4 linked regions of the Caenorhabditis elegans genome follow. The protein of the gene in region 3 purifies or fractionates together with the protein of the main gene of each other region. This does not show direct contact. Each region holds a gene or a part of one and is shown on either strand. Other genes may lie near its edges.

Evidence for each region.
Region 1: the proteins of F21C10.9 (region 3) and wago-1 fractionate together in Caenorhabditis elegans (co-fractionation; one large-scale study listed by BioGRID). This does not show direct contact.
Region 2: the proteins of F21C10.9 (region 3) and ppw-2 fractionate together in Caenorhabditis elegans (co-fractionation; one large-scale study listed by BioGRID). This does not show direct contact.
Region 4: the proteins of F21C10.9 (region 3) and gspd-1 fractionate together in Caenorhabditis elegans (co-fractionation; one large-scale study listed by BioGRID). This does not show direct contact.

The regions. Positions count from the first base shown.
Region 1 is NC_003279.8:7,233,546-7,239,310, reverse strand, and holds wago-1 (Argonaute protein wago-1), read right to left. Parts: upstream 3,928-5,765; 5' UTR 3,904-3,927; coding exon 3,739-3,903; intron 3,693-3,738; coding exon 3,112-3,692; intron 3,068-3,111; coding exon 2,335-3,067; intron 2,287-2,334; coding exon 2,111-2,286; intron 2,068-2,110; coding exon 1,892-2,067; intron 1,850-1,891; coding exon 1,503-1,849; intron 1,457-1,502; coding exon 1,217-1,456; intron 1,177-1,216; coding exon 869-1,176; intron 824-868; coding exon 712-823; 3' UTR 519-711; downstream 1-518. Other genes in the region: dhp-1 (Dihydropyrimidinase 1), read left to right, coding at 77-227; R06C7.2 (BEN domain-containing protein), read left to right, coding at 4,810-5,132, 5,183-5,207, 5,251-5,438, 5,486-5,651. UniProt on the Caenorhabditis elegans protein: Argonaute protein which is involved in the endogenous small interfering RNA (endo-siRNA) pathway. Interacts with secondary 22G-RNAs, which are RNA-dependent RNA polymerase-derived endo-siRNAs, typically 22 nucleotides in length with a 5'guanosine residue.
Region 2 is NC_003279.8:5,158,011-5,164,154, forward strand, and holds ppw-2 (Piwi domain-containing protein), read right to left. Parts: upstream 4,223-6,144; 5' UTR 4,195-4,222; coding exon 4,006-4,194; intron 3,960-4,005; coding exon 3,769-3,959; intron 3,721-3,768; coding exon 3,552-3,720; intron 3,508-3,551; coding exon 3,102-3,507; intron 3,058-3,101; coding exon 2,334-3,057; intron 2,286-2,333; coding exon 2,110-2,285; intron 2,066-2,109; coding exon 1,897-2,065; intron 1,851-1,896; coding exon 1,676-1,850; intron 1,632-1,675; coding exon 1,389-1,631; intron 1,342-1,388; coding exon 974-1,341; intron 923-973; coding exon 805-922; 3' UTR 501-804; downstream 1-500. Other genes in the region: trf-2 (MATH domain-containing protein), read left to right, coding at 290-457; let-630 (Small ribosomal subunit protein mS39), read right to left, coding at 4,688-5,020, 5,073-5,201, 5,250-6,144.
Region 3 is NC_003283.11:9,096,684-9,100,660, reverse strand, and holds F21C10.9 (N-acetyltransferase domain-containing protein), read left to right. Parts: upstream 1-1,964; 5' UTR 1,965-2,001; coding exon 2,002-2,170; intron 2,171-2,440; coding exon 2,441-2,608; intron 2,609-2,656; coding exon 2,657-2,781; intron 2,782-2,829; coding exon 2,830-3,028; intron 3,029-3,074; coding exon 3,075-3,367; 3' UTR 3,368-3,460; downstream 3,461-3,977. Other genes in the region: frpr-6 (G-protein coupled receptors family 1 profile domain-containing protein), read left to right, coding at 60-365, 411-536, 586-710, 760-880; F21C10.10 (3-hydroxyacyl-CoA dehydrogenase NAD binding domain-containing protein), read right to left, coding at 3,533-3,769, 3,815-3,977.
Region 4 is NC_003282.8:11,315,657-11,320,466, reverse strand, and holds gspd-1 (Glucose-6-phosphate 1-dehydrogenase), read right to left. Parts: upstream 3,049-4,810; 5' UTR 3,047-3,048; coding exon 2,921-3,046; intron 2,868-2,920; coding exon 2,661-2,867; intron 2,245-2,660; coding exon 2,169-2,244; intron 2,125-2,168; coding exon 1,872-2,124; intron 1,814-1,871; coding exon 1,512-1,813; intron 1,451-1,511; coding exon 1,313-1,450; intron 1,261-1,312; coding exon 1,059-1,260; intron 1,008-1,058; coding exon 831-1,007; intron 778-830; coding exon 690-777; 3' UTR 516-689; downstream 1-515. Other genes in the region: B0035.18 (Mitochondrial cytochrome c oxidase subunit VIc/VIIs domain-containing protein), read right to left, coding at 1-147; pfd-4 (putative prefoldin subunit 4), read right to left, coding at 4,756-4,810. UniProt on the Caenorhabditis elegans protein: Cytosolic glucose-6-phosphate dehydrogenase that catalyzes the first and rate-limiting step of the oxidative branch within the pentose phosphate pathway/shunt, an alternative route to glycolysis for the dissimilation of carbohydrates and a major source of reducing power and metabolic intermediates for fatty acid and nucleic acid biosynthetic processes.

The sequences.
Region 1 (5,765 bases), on a different chromosome or scaffold from region 3:
ATAATCTAAAAATGTTTGATTCTTGTATTCAGACATATTCTCTCAATGGCACAACATTAACCACAATCTATTACAGAGGGCGAATTGTATGGGCTCACGGAAAACTTCAAACAGTTCCCGGATCTGGGAAATTTATTCCCCTTCTTGCGAATTCACCATTCGTTTTTTCAACTCACGAGAAAAGGGAACAGAAAATTCAACCAAGGATAGTTGAAAGGCTTGAATGAAATTGCTTTTTTATTTATTACTTTTCTTGTTCTGATTAACTTTCGAATTACCATTTTGAGTTAAAAACGTGAATAAATTGTTTGTTCAATATTGAGATTACAACCAAAAAGTAATATTTAGTCGACTAGTCAATTGACTTGGAAGCAGCTCTAGAAATGTTTAATGTTCCAATTTCAAAAAAAAATCGAACAAAATTCCCCCTCATTATCAGACAATCTTCGTTTTCACTTGAAGATCCTCAAAAAACATCGCCTCGAACTTTTACGCACAAAGCAAATCTTTGAAAAATATTATCAGCCTAAAACTTTTATCATACCGAGTTTAATTACTACGGGTCACACAGAACCACATTACAAAAATATAAAACATTTGACTAAAAAATTACAATAAAACTAGCGGAAAAACCGTAAAATTATTATCCTAGGTGACCGTAAAATTATTATCCTAGGTAAAACATCAAGTGTATGTGGCATAGCTCCAAATCTATGCATTGACGCGCTTCTGATTGAGATCGGTTTGTTTGTAGCCGATTTCCTTTGTAAGTTCCTTGAGGCGCTCGCCTTGCGACTCCTTTGCTTCAATTGGTCCTTTAGTCCTGCAAAATATAAATAAATTTTTGTTTTAAACAAAAAAAACCTACGTTAGTTCACCCCAGAGATCTCTTCCACGCTTTGCATACTCATTTGCCACATAAAGTGGAGTGGGAATCGACGTGCTCAGGGAAACAATTTGGTGATGATGACACAAAGTGAAGGTCAGCTCCTCCAGGCGGTCCATTGGAGCTTTGCAGTCGTCAGCAAGAACAGTGTACAATGGTGTCTTTGCTGTTCCTTGAAGAGTCGTGTGACCGTTCAGGAAGAACTGCTTACATGCCGGATTCGTGACAGCGTTATCCAAGACAATGCCCGGAGGAATATTCATTTCAGTGGCTTTGCCGCCCGAACGAAGCTGAAAAGTTAGCGTAAAGAGAATAATAAAACAAATTTACCTGATCACGGAAGAATCGGTAACTGTGCTCCTTAGTGACGACGATGAAAATCAATTTGATTTCTTTCGAGTAACCATGGATAATAGCTCGGGCTAATGGGATTTCATAAGCCAGAATAGAAGCGTGAGAACCCTCCGATGCACCACTTCTATAAATGATGATTCTTTTTGGCAACGCTTTGCGGTTCTTTTCGAACAAATCGATTGAATTTTGCAACACGTCTTCAATTGATGCCATTGTCTGTAAAAATTACCATGTTGTTAACTCGAACACATTAATTATTTACGTCCTGTCCGGAGGGAGCCAAAACGAAATCGCCGACAAACTCGTGATTTGCAACAGCATTTGAAGCGAAGCCAATGATTTGTGGATTAAGATGTCCCTTGTTATCCATCATGTACTTCGTTCCAGCCGGTGGTGCGGAAACGCCAACTCCGATGATCAATTGTTCGTCGGTCATGCTCTTCTTTGCATCCGAAACAGTGTAGTTAAGACCACCTAACTTCACGTTAGTTTTGTTGATGATGTTCTCCAACGTCAATCTCTTCCCATCTTTGACAACGGCATTGGCTTTGGAAATTTTCATATCCTGGACGATCATCATTGTTCTCTGTTCCAAGGCTTTGTACTGCTCTGAAATTTTCAATGAACCATGAAAACTTAAGGAAAACTTACTGTGGAGGTGAACGATTGCGTCATCAGTGATCATCAAGACATACTTGCACTTACTCGCAGCCACTTTTTCCAGCTGAGTCATAATTTTTTCCGTACTGTAAAGTCCTGTTTCACATGGTGGCTTGATCACCATGCCTTTCTTCTTGCAAGAATCAATGAACATTCCGACGAGTTGGCTTAAGAATTGAATTGATTCATGTAAATTTCTATTTGTCTTACTTGACATCTCCAATGGAGAATCTGCAACCTGGATTTCCAACAGCGTAAGCAGCCCACAAATCAGGAACAGTCGCAGGCTTCACAAACCATCCTGGAGGCGCACGCCATTTTCCCATATCCGACATTACCGATCTCTGGTATACAAGTTCTTTTCCATCAAGCTCACGTGCTTGGACCTGGAAAAAGAAAACAAATATATTTTTTTACAATTTACACAAACTAACCATCAGAGGCTCCGAGTAAACCTTGATTCCAAGAGCGACGAGCAACTCGTTTTCGAGTGTAATGTTGACAGCATTTTTACCAGTGATGATCATTCGCTGACGGACATCCGGAAGAACCGCGCACTCCTTCGTTGTCTTTTGAGATTGATTTCCCGTTTGCTGAGGAATGGTGACACGTTGATTTCTGGACACAGTCATCAGTTCAGCCGGGAAGTAATTGTTGTTGCCTCGATCCTTACAAACCACCAAATTGGCGTTCGGATACTGTAGACTGATCTTGTATTTGTCCGCATAGTACTCGGCGATTGAACAAGTTTTTCCATCGGGCAACTCAAATCTGGTCTTTGTGGCACTTTCGTGAAAGATACCTTCGATTCTTAGATGGCGCTTTCTGTTGGTATAAGTCGAATAGCAATCAAGTCCTTTAATCACTGCCGCAGCCTTCTCACGGGTCATATTATTGAGTCCATTTGAAGGATCTTGTCCCGTGATGTCGAACAGTTTTTGGATCACAGTTTGCTCTTTGTGGAAAGCAGCTTTCATACCATCAATCACGAGAGATGGATTGTTCTGTCCGCGACCATAAGGACCCTCGATGAATTGAATCGTCTTCTTGAGGCCAGGATAAAGTTGTTTTCCGTCTCCTACGTCGACACAGTCTCGTTGATCGAATCCTTCTTCGGTGGCGTTGAGGAAATATACTTTTCCGTGCTCGAAGCATCCGAAACGATTTCTAAAATGAAGCGATGCTTTTAATAATTTTCGAAATTCACTTACGTTTCTCTCACGCAATGTTGATTCAGAGCAAGTTCCAAGAATTGAGTGTATTCTCGATTGTTTACTTCAATGTTTTGATCCGCAGTACGCTTGCCCAGATTTTCAGAAGAGAGCGTGATAGAGTTGTCCCTTGGGGCATAAATCTCGAGAGAAATGCAAGGCAGGGTCTTAAGGTCGTCATTGCCGGTATCAGCTCCGTTGATTTGGAAGACTTTGGACTTCGTACCGTTGGCATCCAGTTCTGAGAACAAGTTGACCGTCGTGTAGAGAGTTGATTGACCGTCATATACAATCTGATTCCCATCCTTCATTTTGAAGAATTCCGGGTTCTTCTCAACCGCAAGGAAAAAGATGTTGCAACACTTATCGCGACGATCCTGAACGACGAAGTCCTCCTTTCCTTTTTTAGTGAAAGTCACTTCCTTTGTTGAAGTCAAATCGGCCTTTGCGTGAACCATAAAACGATGAACTGTGGTTTCCTTTGTGACTTCAATTCCGAAGACATTGGTTTGGATGTCCACTGGTCTGCCCATTTTTCCAGGTTCGGTTGGCTTCATGTACATTTTCGCACCATCCTCAACCTGCAAATATGGCATTAGAAAGATCTTTGAATGCTGATAAACATACGTTTAACTGTTGTAAACGCTTGATGCATGCGTCGTTGCCAGTGCTTTGGTGAAGCTTTTGAGCATCGGCTGGAACTGGAGGCATTGGAGTCATAGCTCCTGGTGGAGCAGTGACTGGTGGCATTGGAGGCATCGGTGGATGCGGTTGTGGTGGATGAGGAGACATCTTATTACTATTGCAATATTAGTTCTGAAAAAAGCTTATATAAATAATATTCTGCACCGAATAAGCGAGATTGGAGAACATCTATAGAAAATTATGAATTTGTGAGATATTTAACAATAGTTTAAACAAATAAATCAGTTTTCTTCAAGAGATCAATCTAGAACGAAAATGGTACGTTATGAAGAAAGGGCAAACTACGGAATTTTCGTATTGCCGACGAAAAAGAATAATGATTCGAGATTTTTCGGTGTTTCAGAGGCGGCATAAAAACAAATAACGACTAGATTTGTACAAAATCATCATTATTAATGACGCAAGAATACAGAATCCGATAATTGGCGGCTAGATCAAATGTAGATCACTTTTACATTTTTAAGATTCAACGAGCAAGTTTCTTAAGATTTTGTAACTAGATTATTATTAAAATATAAAAATAATCTTGAAAATTAACAAAAATTATTGAAAACTGTCACAAACCGGAAAAGAATACAAAAAACAATTTCTTCGTCCTAAAAAATTTAAATGACAACGCATACAGTACATAAGAATGGAGATCGCTGCGAGACCCACTCAGTGTTAAAACGAACGCTCCTTGAATTTATTTTTGCTGTACAGCCTTATTTTTCTCCTTTTTACAAGTATTGTGTGCTTTCCATGTTTTAAAAAGTGACTTAGTTGTTAATTTTATTTTGAATGATACTCATCTAATTCAGGCTTGTAGCTTAGATCGCAATGAAGTTAATCGTTTGCAACCTATGTGGATTCCCGCCAGCAAGAAGGCAATTTTACATCACCACCTGCTCTCACATCTTGTCGAACAACGCAGACTGCTGGATTTTGTTATTTGTGTAAGGTCCCTACGAAAACTCTTAAAATAGATGGAAATCTGCCGAAAATGTGCGGAAAATGTTCAGCGCTGTACATCCCGATTCGCGACGTGACTGTAAAAAGTACAGATATTCTCAAACGTCTCACCAGAATTATTGGTTTTTAAAGTATTCAGAATTCAATTTATTAGGAAAACGAAAAATAAAAGGTAATTTTTTGCACTTGTTTCATGCAGAAGAAAAAGTTTTATTTCAGTCGGTGATGCTAAAAGATCAAACGGCGAAAACAGAGAAAAGGACACAGGAAATCACATGCCAACTGTCGAAGCTAGCCAATTTTGAGGAAAATAATCGAAAGAAGCTTCAAGATACTGAACGCGAGAACAAGAAGCTTCGAAATTTGTAAGTAGTTTCTGCACGAGATTAAATTTAACATTTTTTTTCTATTTTAGAATCAATTCCCTTGAACTGAAACTTGTCAGTTCTCCTGTTATCGACAATAACGATTTTTTTATTCAAGGAAAATCTACCTCTTCAAATCCTTTTTTTTTTAATCTCGGAAAATGACGAATTGCTCGAACGTGTATTTCACTTCCATTGTGCCACCTTCACCAAATTGTCAGACTTCCAACTTCTTTTTTTTCCAACACCAATGTATGTTGCAAATGAGTACGCGAAGAGTGGTCGTAATTTGTGGAATGAAGCCATGTGAGTTTAAGAAAATGACAACAGTTGATATTAAAATATTTTTGCAGCATTGCGGATGCAATTCCCGAAGTTTCTGGACCAGAGGCAGCTCGTATGAAGCAGATTACCGATAGCATCAAATACAAGGAATCCGGCTTCCTGATCGACCGTCGTGTCAATGCTTCAGCACTAATAATTCAATCAAATTGTAGTATTTTCAATTCCAACTTCTAGTTTGTGAGAAGCATACCATGATTTTTTATTTGTATCCCACCCTGTCATTCTTGTTTTTGCGTTACATACAATGCGTATCTAATAGTAAGTGGTGTAACTGCTAATTTCATTTTC
Region 2 (6,144 bases), on a different chromosome or scaffold from region 3:
TAGAAAAATGATGATAAATATACAAAATATGAGAAAAACTCAATTTTTAGTTGTTTTTACTTTTTATATCAGCGCTTTTATTTTTGAACCAAAATCAAAAATCTTTTTTTCTCCTCCTTTCCCCCAATTAGCTTTACAATTGATACCTAATTTCAAAATATGAAATCGATTTTAAACCCACAAAAACCGAAGGAAATCATTTTTCAGTGGTAAAATTTTCCAACGCTCACGAGAAACGCGCAAGCCCCCTTGTTGGGTCATTTCCACGTGAGGAGGCTGTGTACTTCAGAACTTTCTTCCGTTGGCAAAAGTAACCGAATTCGCTGCTGATGGTGACATCTTTATCCAAATAAAGGTCTTATTGAGCAAGGAGAAACAAAAAACCCAAGCTAAAGAAGTCGATTCGTCTGAGTGTCAGTCCGAGATGGTCGGATCATCGAAAGCGAAAAGTGAATGAAGTTTTCCAGTGAATAAATGATTCCAATTGTTAGATGCAGTTTGGATTTTAAAATTTTATTGTCTCCGGGAGACCATAACAAAAGCATTACATGCTCAACTTAACAAAACAACAATGGCTATAACCTATGAACGACTTGTAATCATTGCCGAAGATTGACAAGCTGCACGTAGGATGAGCCAGAACAATGGGGAACAGAGGGCGGGGGGAATAAAACAATTATTGAACAATTATGTACCACTTAGATAAGATATAGCATTAAAGACATAGTGGGATACAAATAAAAAAATTGATACAAAAGATGAGTTGGATTAAAAAATGGTACAACTTGATCTTCGGGTGAGTGCTTAAGCATTGACACGGCGGTCGATCATGTCGCCGGAGCCCATATAGCTGATGCCATCGGTCATTTTCTTCAAACGAGCTGATTCTGGTCCAGTAACCTCGGGAATTTCATTAGCATTGCTGAAAAGGCATAGTCATAAATGCTTGAATCGAAAAAATCTGAAAACTCACATGGCTTCATTCCACAAATTACGCCCTCTCTTCGCGTATTCATTTGCAACATACAGTGGCGTTGGAATCGACGTGGGAAGTCCGACAATTTGATGGAGGTGACACAGATTGAAGGTGAATTCTTCCAATGCCGACATACCAATATTACGATCATCAGCAAGAACAGTATAGAGCGGGGTCTTTGCCGATCCCTGAAGAGTCATGTGCGAGTTCAAGAAGAACTGCTTGCATGCTGGGTTGGTAACACCATAATCAACGGTAAGTCCTGGACCAATATTGAGCTCCCATGGTTTTGGCGGTGCCGAAGTCAATGTGCCAGAATTGCTTGCGCCAGCGCTGTTAGATCCACCGCTGGAAGATCCACCAGACTGAAATAATAATCAACATTAAACGTCAAGACTTCTTGCCCACTCACCTCTTTCTTGAAGAATCTATAGGTGTGCTCCTTCGAGACCACGATATAAAGCAATTGAGTGTCCGGCGAAAAGTTTCTCATGGCAACACGAGCAAGAGGAACTTCATAGGAGATGATTGGTCCGTGATTTCCTTCGCTGGAGCCACTTCGGTAGATTGTGATGCGCTTTGGCGCTTTGCCATCGTGGAACTTCTTATATCCTTTGATTGAATAGGAGACGATATCCTCAATTGGTGCAATGGTCTGAAAGCTCAACATGAATAAAATAGTATGACTGAAAAACGCACTTCTTGACCAGCAGCGTTCAATACGAAATCTCCACTAAACTCCTGCTTCCCATTTCCATTGTATGCGAAACCCACAATAGTCGGATTGAGAATTCCTCTGCTTTCCATGATGTACTTGGTCCCAGGTGGTGGGCTGGAGATACCAACGCCGATGATCAGATGCTCTTGAAGGAAGCTGAAATTTTGTACATGGATAAACAATTGAACGCGTAATAATATACTTCTTCGTATCGAGGTAAACGTAGTTGGACCCTCCTAGTTTCACGTTGGTCTTGTTAATAACGTTCTCCAATGTTAGTTTCTTTGATGCGTTGACGACGCTCAAAGCCTTGGACAACTTCATATCCTGAACAATCATCTGAGTATGATGCTCGATGAACTTGTATTTTTCTGTAACAAACAAAACTTATTGAGAAGAGCCAATTATGACATACGATGCAAGCAAGTGATATTGTCTTCAGTGATGCACAGAACAAAAGTGCATCCAGCATTCGCAGCCTCACGCAAACGATTTTCGATAGCATCAGGGGTGAGAAGATTGACGTCTCCAGGTGGCGGAAACAGAATTCCTTTCGAACGACTCATATTCATGAACTCGTCACAAAAACGTCTGAAAAATCAGAAAAAACCAATCAATTTTAAGTAGAGTAAGACTAACCTCATAACGTCGCGATTCATTTGTGATCCCGGCGACCCCACGCCGTACAACGCCCATACTTTCGGAGCCACAGCTGAACGGTTGTAGCGTTGTGGGCGCCATTTGCAATCTCTTGGATTGATGAGATGTTCACCCGTTTCAAATGAAGCCAACCTAATGGCCGGGAGGTTTCGCCCTTTCACCACAAGAGGCTCATCGCAAACAGTCACTCCCATTTTACCGAGCACCTCGTTTTCAGCTGTGATCTTCGCTGCAATCTTTCCCGTCATGATCAAACGTTGGCGAATGTCTGGCAACACTGCACTTTCTTTTGTGGTTCGTTGACTTTGAGAACTTGTTTGCTGAGTGATTCTAACACGTTGATTTGGACTGATAGTAATCAACTCCATGGGATAGAAGTTGAGAGCTCCTCTTTCCTTACAAACGATGAGATTGGCGTTCGGATAGCGAAGTTGAATCTTATATTTATCCTTGAAGTAGGTGGCAACGGTACAAGTACCACCACCTTCGAGCTCGAATCTGGCAGTTGCGGCTCCTTCGTGATGAATGCTTTCAATTTTGTGATGACGTGTGCGTCCTCTATAGTTTGAATGACAGTCAAGTCCTTTGATGACAGCTGCACATCGTTCTCTTTCGGATCCAGTGATTCCGTTAGCCAGATTGGATGTGATCGATGACAATTTTTGGAAAACGAGTTGCTCCATATGGAATGCCACCTTCATTCCTGAAGATTGAAATATACTTGTCTATTTTGAGCTAAAAACTAACCGTCAATGACAATCGATGGGTTATTCTGGTTACGTCCGTATGGACCCTCAATGAATTGGAGGGTTTTCTTGAGACCCGGTTTCATTTGTTTCCCATCTCCAACTTCCACAATGTCGCATGGAGCGTACCCTTCTTGCAATGGATTAATGAAAAACATCTTTCCGTGCTCGAACACTACACATTTGGAGGTTTCGCGAATTGCGTACTGACTCATAGCGAGATCGAGAATCTGCTTATAAGCCATATTGACAGACTCGATGTTAGAATCCGATGTACGTCTTCCAATATCTTCCAGGGAGAAATTCACGACTGGGTTCTTGGTAGGAAAAACTTCCAGTTTGATACACGGCAGCACCATTAGGTCTTTCAAGTTGGTGTCCGCACCGTTAATTTGAAACACTTTTGTCTGAAATTAGGAATGCATCGAAAGTACAAATAAAATCTCGATACCTTAATTTTTCCAGTTGGAATTCCTTCAAAAAGATTCATGCTGGTGAAGAGAATGCTCTGTCCATCGTAGATGATGCAGTTCTCAGACGACTTGAAAAAGTCCTCAAAGCGGTTCAATGCGTGGAACAGAATAGCACTGCACTTCTCATGGCGGTCATGAACAATGAAGCTGAAATTGAATGCATAGGAAATTTGAATTCGATCATCAATATCTTACTCTTCTTTTCCTTTTTTAGTGAAAGTTACTTCTTTCTTCGATGAAAGTTCAGCAGTGATGTGCACACTGTATTGATAAAAGTTGGAAGTTTTATGTACTTCGACTCCAAACACATTTGTCAGGACTTCAGTCACGCTACCGAAAGTTCCAGGTTCGGTTGGAGAAGGATAGATCTTCGGATCCGGCGGAATCTAAAATATCATATTTATTCTAAGCAATAACGAGAACCGATCTCACCTCAAGCTGTTCGAGTCGCTTAATACACGCATCGTGAGCAGTTTTGTGTTCCGAGGTGACAGGAAGAGTCGGAACCGGAACCGGTGGGACTGGTGGTGGTGGATGAAGTCCTGGCGGAGCGGTGACCGGTGGAAAACCAACTGGTGGCACTGGTGGCATTGTTACCGGTGGAACCGGTGTAGCAGGCATTGTGAATGTTGTTAGTGAATACTACCTGAAATCGGAGAACGATTGCATTATGAACAATATCTTAAAATTTACGAATAACGTGTTGGAAAAAAATTGAATAAGTTTATGCAACTTTTCGGGATACATGCATTCTCTAAATCTTATAACTTATAACTTGAAAAAAGAACTATTGAAACACGTTTTTGTTAGATACTTGAAAAATATGAAGATTTCAACAAGAAATACTGAAAAATCGTGCACGGAAATGAATATTTTGGGACAGTAGGTAACATTTTTTGAAGTAGTGCGAATAGCTACCGTATACCTTAGACAGCGTTGCGAGACCCACTCAGATGAAAACTCGATGCGCCTTTAATTTCAAATTGAACGACCTTTGAAAAAAAAACATGTTGAACAAATTTTTAAATAAGTTTTATTATGGGAGACATTTTGAAAGCAAAACAAAACAAAAACAAAATAACTTTACAACTATCCTAGGCTAAACGAAATAAAATTATTGTGGGCGAAGACGAATGAATCCTTGAATAATTCGAACTTGCTCTTGATTCACATTACATTTCTCGAAAATGCGATTGGCGAGAGGCTCAAGTTTTGCACGGTTGGCGGTCAACGACATAATTTGCAGGCAAGTCGCTGCAGCATATGTATCACGTTTTCTAAGAGCATCTTCGAACAATTCTGCCATTGCCCATGGCCTAGCATGTCCACGTGGATAAACAGTCGCTTCGTCCCCACTGCTTGCAGTTTCATCAAGCAGTAGATCTAACAGTTCGTAAGCTTTCTGCTGTTCTCCGATTCTGGTCAAGAGCAAAGCACATTCTGAGATCTGCAAAATTTGAGAAATATACGACTTATGGTTTGAAAAATAATATTAAAACCTGGCTAGGCGACAGTTTCCTTTGGAGCCTTCTCATTCTCTCTTCTGTGAATTGGCTGAACTCAACCCAAACTGCAACCAATTTTTGGACAAGAGATGTGAATTGCTCCCGTTCACTAGTTCCCAATGTCTGAAAAAAACTTGTAAAAAACACAAGATATTTGGAAATAAAACTTACATGTAGTTGTACATTACACAACTGTTTGCGCATTTCTTCTCCAATAACTCCATTCATCTGTCCAGCTGCAATACCGTCGATGATTACTCTCCGTAACAGTGGCCAATGACGATCGGAGGATGCAGCGAGTTTTCGAAAAACTAGTGATGACAGATAATTGTTGACTCCAACAAGTCGTGGTACCATGGTGGTGTACAAATCATAAATTCTGTTCAGTGAAGCACTTTGTTCCACAGCCAATTGTAATTGTCTATTATAGAACATTGATTCAATTGTGAATGCTGGCATCTTTACTTCGTTTGCTTTGGATTCATAAATTGAAACAAGATTTTCTGCGAGGTTCTCATTTGCAGCTCTGTAATGGATTCCCATTGCTTCGACGAAGAAAAGATTACAAGTGGATGTAATCGGCTTGAGAGTTTTTCCAGTAAGGCTATTCTGAATTTCATTGAGCCAAGATATAGCCACGGTGAGCTGGTGATTATAGGTCTTCTTTTGCTCGTCACTCTCTCGTTTTTCATTATCCAATAATTTAAAATCTATGATGTTTTTGATAATTAAATGAAAAGATGACAGTGCTGGTTCAACTCCAATCTCTTTCATTTCTCCAATAATTTCAGTGAACGCCTTCACACGATCTTCAAACTTTCCAGCTTTTGCAGCAGACGACAGTAATGCATTGAACGTGAAAATATCGGGTGTCATTCTGAGGGAAATCATTTCAGCTACCAATTTCTTCCCGACACTGTAGCTTGAAGCGCCAATTAATCCATTGAACGCTTCTCGGTAAACTTTTCCTTTTGCAGCTCGATGCTCCTTGTACAATTCTCTAGCTCTTTCCAAACTAGAATGATCAGAAAACTTGCATAGACCAGCAATCATTATAGAAACGGTT
Region 3 (3,977 bases):
AGAATTTTATTTCAAATTATAATCTCAACACAGAAAATCTAATTTGAAAATATTTACAGGTCCACATTTGGTGCACATTCAAAAACTCAGTTAGAATTGTTATAGCCATCATAACATTTTCAATTATTCTGAACTTCCCTAAATTCTTTGAATACCAAATTGGCTATTCGGATGCATTGGGATACTGGCCAAAACGTGGAATTTTGGATGCAGAAGAGCACTGGTGGTACTACATTTCATATTTTATCATCATTTCTGTCATTTTTGACTACCTTCTGCCATTTGTTATAATGTTCATTGCAAACATGAAAGTCATCAATGAACTGAGAAAATCAAGGAAGGAGAGAGCACTTTTGACGACTTCGGTAAATATTTTACACGTTTGTATTCTATTATTATTATATTTCCAGCTTCAAAAAGAGCAAAATACAACTGTGATGTTGTTGGTTGTGACTATTCTCTTTGGATTCTGTCACTTTTTCAGTATGGCTCTCAAATTGTTCGAGAGCATTTTTAAAGATTTTCTCAATCGACACGTACGTTTTTAAAAGATTTAAATAAAATAATCTGAACATGTCATTTCAGAATGAATATTTCGAAGTGATGATTGAAGTATCTAATATTCTCATCGTCATTCATATTGGCACGACATTCTTCATATATTACTTTTTCTCGGCTAGATTCAGGAATATTTTGTGCTATTTGTTCAAGTAAATTTTAAAATCAAAATCTTATTCTTTCAATTAAATATTATTTTAGAAAACGAAGCAACCTTCCGGATAATAGCCTCACAGACTTGAACAAACGGAAGCTTCTTCAAAAATCCGATTCAATATGTACTTCACTGGCAAAAACATCACCAAAAACATCAATGGCATAATAATCTGAAAATAGGATATATAGTAGTCTCCCAATCTCTTGATCTTTTGTTTCTGATATTTCTTTTTTACTTCCTTGGATCTTTTTGTTCCTGCTTGCCATCCTCTTCGGCGTCATAATAATCATTCCGAAAGTTGTTTTCCTATATCTTACGAACGGTTCAATGAAATAAAATGTTGTGAATTTTATTTATGATATGCTAAAAATTAGACGATATATATGGAAACAAACTGTCTGGTTAAGGAAAAGTATGAATATATAATTTTAGCTTTTGAGATAGTGATCTCGGTACAAAAATCAAAAGTTAAAGGTCTAAAGTTCAAACAATCATGCAACTTTCCAAATATACTAACAGAAGCCACATTCTTGGAAACCTCCAGAAAGTGCGAAGCATCCTGCACGTTTTTAATGCATAGTTTAAGGAAAATATTGAAAATGAAGAAGTAAAAACCAAAAGATGGAAAAATTATTTATGAGAATAAAAGAAGGTAATCATGGGAAATTTAGAATCTCAAAAGTTTGTTCCTCGAATGCTTTTGATTACTTCGGAGCAAATGAAAAGAAAAGATGCAATAAATGAAACCAAAAAAATAGGACTTGTGATCTTTAGGAACTAGAATTAAAAAAATAACCAAATGTTAAATATAGATTGGTTTTGATTTGTTCAAAATATCGTAACATGCAATTGTGAATTTTAAAGTTCATCTACTATTTTGAGATAGATGAAATAAAAATTTTAACGGAAAACGATATTTACCGGGAATTATACAAACTGTACTAAATTAACGTGATGAGATTTGCGTTTTTAGGAGGAAGCGGTGGGTGATAAAAATATAATATGCTATGAAAAAAACGTTTATTGTACAGAAATAAATGAAATTTCATTTTTGAATGGGTGAACAGTTGTTTTCATTTTCTTGTAAATTACAAAATAAAATTTTTCTATCATTTGATTCCGCATTTTGTAGTACGCGAATCTTGTAGCTTGTGTATTTTGTGTACGCTATCAGTAAATGATCGAACCTGTGTGTTCAACAGTTGGTCGATATCAGAACTAATATATAAATTGGCTAGACAGAAAAAAAAGGACTCACACTTTCAACTTATTCAGCTAGTTTCGAGATGAAAACTTTATTTGAAATTATTGATAATCCTGATTCATCTAGCCCATTGTGGAAACAATGGAAAAATTTAGTGGACACCGAAGGATGGACATCAGATGACAATTCGGTCACCGAAATGGTTCCATCTCTTCCGACCACGCGAAGTGTTTTTGCAGTTACTAAAACGCGTAAGTTTTCTCTGTTTGATATTAGTTTTAGAAGCACGTGATTTATTATTGCAACAAAAAGATAAGTACTAGTTAACTAGTTTGAAAAAGGACCGATATGTTATCAATTAATACTTTGATTTATTAGAGACATGCAATATGATTTTAGACTAAAATCTTTAACTTTTTATTGTGTTTGTTTTAAACTATTTATTTACAGTTAATTTTGTAAAATGAATAAACTTTGGTGATTTTGGCGGAGAATTTTGTAAAATTGAGAAATTTTTACAGCAGAGCGGAGCATGGTTGGAAGTGTTGTTTGGAACGAGTATGATGATATTTGTTGGTTAGGCTTTTACCTTTTGGCTCCAGAGTATCGTGGAAAGGGCATCGGGTCGATGATCTGGGCTCAAGCAATGTCTCGTATTAGGAAAGACTTGGTTCTTGGCTTAAGAGGAGGTTTCTTTGTATTTTGATTCAACTTTAAAAATAAAATACCGATTTCAGTCGTCAAAATGGCTCCAAAATACAAATCCCGAGATACTCCTGTGGATGGAGCGTTGCTTGAAAATTACCGTTTAACTTCAAATGACTTTTATTCTGCTATGAAAAATTTTCAAGATTTGGGGCTTGTAAGTTGAGAATCGTCGTACTTACAAAAAATGCATATTATATAACAGATTCAAAAACGCGTGAGAGACTTATCTGAAACAGATTGGGAGAAGTTTTTGAAGTACGATAAAAGTGTGAATAGTAGAGATCGTCGAGAGTATTTGGAGATTTATTACAAGAAACTTGATTACACTATTGGAATTGCATTTTTCAATGAATCTGGAGACATAGATGGTGTTATTTCTGCGGTTCCTACTGGTCATCAAGGTACTAGTTTTTTGAATTATTGAGGAATTCAGTTAATGACTTTCAGAAGATAACAATTTCAAAATTTGCCACCTTTACGCAAATTCATCAAACATAGCATTTTACACAATGAAAGTCCTTTCCGAAGTTATGCTCAAAACATATCCTGAAGCTACTCTCATTTTCCATCTTGTTGATACTCCTGAAGGATCCTTCACAGTTCTTCATAAATTTTTCAAAAGCCTCAATTTGAATGCAGGTGTCAGTGGATTAACACTATACAGTGATGTGTATCAGCCCAAAGGAGATCTTGAGAAAGTTTACATTCCATTTAATAGCTCCTGTCATTTTGATTACTGATATTTAGAATATTTCAAATTTGATGATAATCAACTTTTTTTTTCCTTTAAGTTGACATTTATATTCAATAAAATAGCTTTCCAATTTATTACAAACAAGCTGATCTACATGGAGATCTTAATTACAGTCAGAAAAATGAATGTACAAAGTTCCCAGAAACACGAACTAAAAAAGCAAGTATTGTTCTTTTGGCATTGAAGGAGTTGCTGGAGCATTGAGTGGTGTGACAAGTGTAGAAATAAGCTTCGAAAGAGATGATGATTTCTCAACTTGTTGCATATCAAGTACAAGACGATCAGCAACTCGAGAATCTTCCTCACTGAGAACAGTAAGGCCCATCGAATCGAGAAGTTGGTTTACTTCTTCGAGAGTTTTTTTGGAAACCTTCGAATTGGTGAACATCTGAAAGAAAGATCTATGAATCAACGTTTTTGTTTCTTCTGATACCTTTGCAGTCTTTGTCTCATGAATGGGGCTGTACATTTTGACAGACACGTGATTCGAGTGAATTGGAGATTTTTCACCGTTGAGGGAGATGATTGTGGCATTTGGAACAGCTTTAGCGGTATTAATGAAGAGAGAAGATTCATCGGCAGAGCATGCATCGATG
Region 4 (4,810 bases), on a different chromosome or scaffold from region 3:
GAAAAACTCTTCATATTTGTTGTGACGTGGCCAAACGTAAAATGCGTTGAATGCGGCAGTCGAGACGACAGCGACAGCAAGTGAAACGTAAATTCCACGTTTTCCATATGATTGGAGCATGTTCCGGGTAGCGGAAGCAGCAACCATGGCTGAAAAAAAGAATGAGTAATACGATGTGCAGCTAGCAAGAAAAAGACGTAAAACAAGAAAGACGTTTTTTTTTAAATCAAAGATATTGATACTTTAAAACATTTGTGCAAAAATGATGGGAAATCCGATGGAAAATGATAGAAATCCGAAGAAAATATGATTGAACTTGAACAAGAATTGAACAATATGATGATGCGCGACGCAACACGCGTCGCACGTCCACTACTGTAGAAGTAGAGTGTATGCAGAGTGTTTGCGGACTGGCGCACCGTAACCGGCTTGTCGAAAAAATGATTATTTTTTGAATACAGATTATTTAAAATAAGCCTTTTTACTGGCTTATCTTATCGTTCTACACTTCTTTTAACTGAAAACGTATTTATTTTCATTCATTCAATAGAACATTAACAAATGAAAAAAGAGCAGGAATAATATTGATGTGGAACACAGGAAAACATATGAACTAGTAGCTGCTGAATTTTTGAAGTTATTTCTACAAACATTTGAAAGAGAATGAATAGAGGAAGATCTGGTATCATTTATAGCTTTGGAGCAACCCATTTGTATGTTCCAGTGAAGATGAAACCGTACTTTTTCATCAATTCGTCACCTTCAGTTGGACCACGACTGAAAAATTGGATTACTGTATTTAATTTTAAAAAAAAAGAAACACAACCAACCTTCCAAATTTATATTGAACCGGTTGAACTTTCTTCTTTTTAAGCTCTTCGAGAACTGGCGTCAAAATACGCCAAGCGTATTCAAGCTCATCAGTTCGAACGAAATTAATTTGAGATCCCATGAATACTTCGAGAAATAGGCGTTCATAAGCATCAGGAAGACGGACTTCTTTGAATCTGAAATTATCACAATGAAATTTTTTTTGAAGAGAAATTTCAAAAACTAACCTATTATTATAAGTCAAATCAAGTTCAGTTTCTTCAACACCGAATCCCATTCCAGGTTTCTTGGTCATCAGTTTCATGTAAACTGCCTCATTTGGTTGCACTCTCATCACTAATTCGGATCGCTTTAATTCACCAGACGGATAGATATCTCCACTGACTTCTTTGAATTGTATACGAACTTCTGCTTTCTTCTCGTTGAGAGCTGCAATAATATTGAAATTTAAAAATTCGGTTTTTTTTTGTATATTCCCTACCTTTTCCACAACGCAAGAAGAATGGAACACCCTCCCAACGTTCATTATTGATGTGAACAACAGCAAGAGCATACGTTGGAGTAGTCGAATCGGCTGGAACTGATTTGTCATCTTTGTATCCTTGTGATGCTTCTGGGTCTAAAATTAATGTATTTAAAAATCAAAACTTTTATAAAATTGTAATTTTTGAAAAACTCACGATCAAATTCAGGACTGGCAATGTATTGTCCAACTACTACATCCTTTAATTCTACAACTTTAGCAGCTTTCAACACTTTGACCTTTTCATCACGAATATCTTCAGCATTCAAACTTGCTGGTTTCTCCATGGCGACTAAAGTTAGAATTTGCATCAAATGATTCTGCATAACATCACGGATAATTCCAGCTGTATCAAAATATCCAGCACGGCCACCAGTTCCAAAATCTTCTTTAAATGAGATCATAACTGATGCAATGTGATCGCGGTTCCAAGATGGAGCGAGAATTCGGTTTCCAAATCTGAAAGTTCAAAATAAAATTATAAATCTCTTCAAATACTTTGAAAAAACATTCTTACCGCATAACCATCAAATTCTGAACCATTTCTTTTCCGAGATAATGATCAATACGGTAGATTTGATCTTCTTTAAAAAGTTTCGCCAAATGAGTTGAAAGTTCACAAGATGATTTCAAATCATGTCCAAATGGTTTTTCTATGATAACACGTGTCCATGAATCACCATGATCCATACAATTCTTCTTTAATTCCGTAGAAACCACGTTGAAAACTGATGGAGGAAGAGCGAGGTAGTAGAGACGATTGACGGCTTCTATAAATTTGCTTAGATTGAGTGAAATTTAATTCTAAACCTACGATTATTGCTTTCTTTTTGGAAATCATCAATTGAAGATTGAAGGCGTTGGAATCCTTCAGAAGTGTCGTATTGGCCCTGAAAAAATGTCAATGGTGCTTTTTATGTTCAAAGTTTCTAGAAAAAAGCTTCGATTCAAATTTTTATTACCCAGTAACAAGATTTTGTGCGAAAAATACGGTAACCGGTCTCGACCCCACAATTTTTGTTGAATGCAAAAAAGTGCGCGCCTTTAAAGAGTACTGTAGTTTCAAGTTTTTGTTGGTTTTCGTAGTTTTCCTACCTGATTTGTAAAAAAAATGTATGTGTTGCAATTATTTTTTTTCAGTTTTAAAACAATTTTTTTAAAATCTGAAATCGACAAAAGCTTGAAGCTACAGTACTGTTTAAAGGTGATACGTTTTCGCATTTAACACAAATTTGTGGTGTCGAGACCGAGCACTGTATTTTTGGAACAAAGTTTCACGCCTATTTATTAGCAGATGTAGATTTACCTGAACGTATGAGCACTTCTTGATGAAGTCATCAAAAGCACATTTCTCATTTTCTCGAACTTTACAGTTTTTCTCAAAAGATTCACGAAGCTTGAAAACTGTCAGATCGGAACGGGCATATCCAATAAATTTGATGTTGACTGGCAAAAGGTTGTCACGGAACAACCACCACAGTGTTGGGTATATTTTCTTTTTTGCGAGATCTCCCTGAAAAAATGTTAAATAATTAATAATCGATATATATGGAATAGATGTCATACCGATGCTCCAAATATCACGAAAACGTACGGAGTCTCAAATTTGAGATCTCTTTGCATTGATTCACGAAGACACTCGACGAGATCCTTCGAAATGGGATCGGACACTGAATGACGTTTGCATGCCATTTCTGTAAATTTATAAACTAGATTTTGAAGTGAGAATGACGAACATTGATTCACAAAAATTACTCGTGTTGAGAGGTAAATAGTAGAAACTACAAGTTTCAAAGTAAACCATCTAGATACACATAAATGTTATTTAAAAGTGAGATTATTGTTTCATTTATACAACGAAAAATCAAAAAGAAATACGTTAATTGATATATTGATGTACTTCATAATGATTCTGCGCAATTCTTTTTTACTGGCAGAGTAATAAACTGCTTACTTTCAGCTAGTTACATTTAATGGAATAATGTTAATTTCTAGCACTAAAAAATGTAATTTTTCCTTTCGAATCATATACCTAGTAGCGAACCGCAGTCTACAATATAAATGAATTGGAACAACTGGAACAACACTATAAATCGGTCACTTTTTACTCCACTTCCATTTTTTTCACAGGGCAGCGAGAGAAGAAAGAAACAGTAAGAGAAAAGTGGATGCGCCAGTCTCTTTACAAACATGAAAATATTTACTGAAATCTTCTCGGGTCACAAAAAATGATGACTGAATGAAATTGTGTAGTGTGTGCGAGTGGTAACCATGACAAATAATGTTCTCTGGGCGACATTGATCGACAATGAAAAGAAACAATGTATTTCTCTAGGAAACATAAAAACTCGAGTAACTTGACTCTGGAGAAGAGACGAAACTTTGTAACTCTAGATTTAATCTATGGTTCTTGACTTTTAGTTGACCGACTAGGATATTCTGGAACACATTTTTTTTGGATTTTATCTGGAAGATGAATTCTTCGAAGACTTAGTCTATCAGAGAAAAAACTAATTTCGTTTTCAGAAAACAAATCAAAAATCACTGAACTTGAAAGTTTATCAATTTGATTAACGTCTGATCAGTTTACCAAATTAACAAGAAGACAAAGAAAAAGAAGAATGAAAACTGTTCTTTGCAACTCCTAAATAACTATGCATTTTCAACCATAAATTCTGCCAATCGGGTTTCATTTGGAAAACGGAGCACACGAATGGCCACATTTATTTGTGTCTCTGCCGATCATTTTTTTAGAAGGTGAAAAGTGCAAACAAAATATGAGGAGAAAAAAACGGAAAATGCTGACAAAACTTCGGAGGTGACAAAGAAAGAAACGGATAAAAAAGGTGAGAAAAGAAAGGGCAGACAAATTAAATGGACAGAAAGACAATCGGGAAAGAATGTTGCCAATTTGGGAATATAATTAATTTTCAAGTATTTTTTTAAAGAGAAATTGAATATTTTCTGTTAAATTCAAATATTTAGAATGCTACATTCTAGCCAGTCTATTGTGGAAATCATGATAAGATTGTCTGAAAGATAATGGATTTTTCCAAAATGCTATTATATTACGTGGGCGAGCGTCTCCTCTATAAATAAAGAGCAATGGGAAACAAAACATGTAAACTAAAATGAACACCAAACACGAAAAAACCTTCCTCTTCCCGTCCACTATATTGATATTTAGGATCTGGTGTGACCCACAAGTGGGTGGTGCCATTCGTGATAAGGAAAATCGGTCGAAAAAATTCATCAGCAAAATACGCGGAAACAGTGAACAGTGAGCACACGTTGTGAAAAAGGTGAGAAAAGCAATTTTTAAATTGAGATAATTTTTATATATGAAAGCTTCAACGGAAAAGATACAAAATCGAGCAAAATAAGAAATTAGAATTTATAGATTATTCTTCAGCGTCCAAATTGATCTGATCTCCGAATTTGGCGTACAAAACCTTC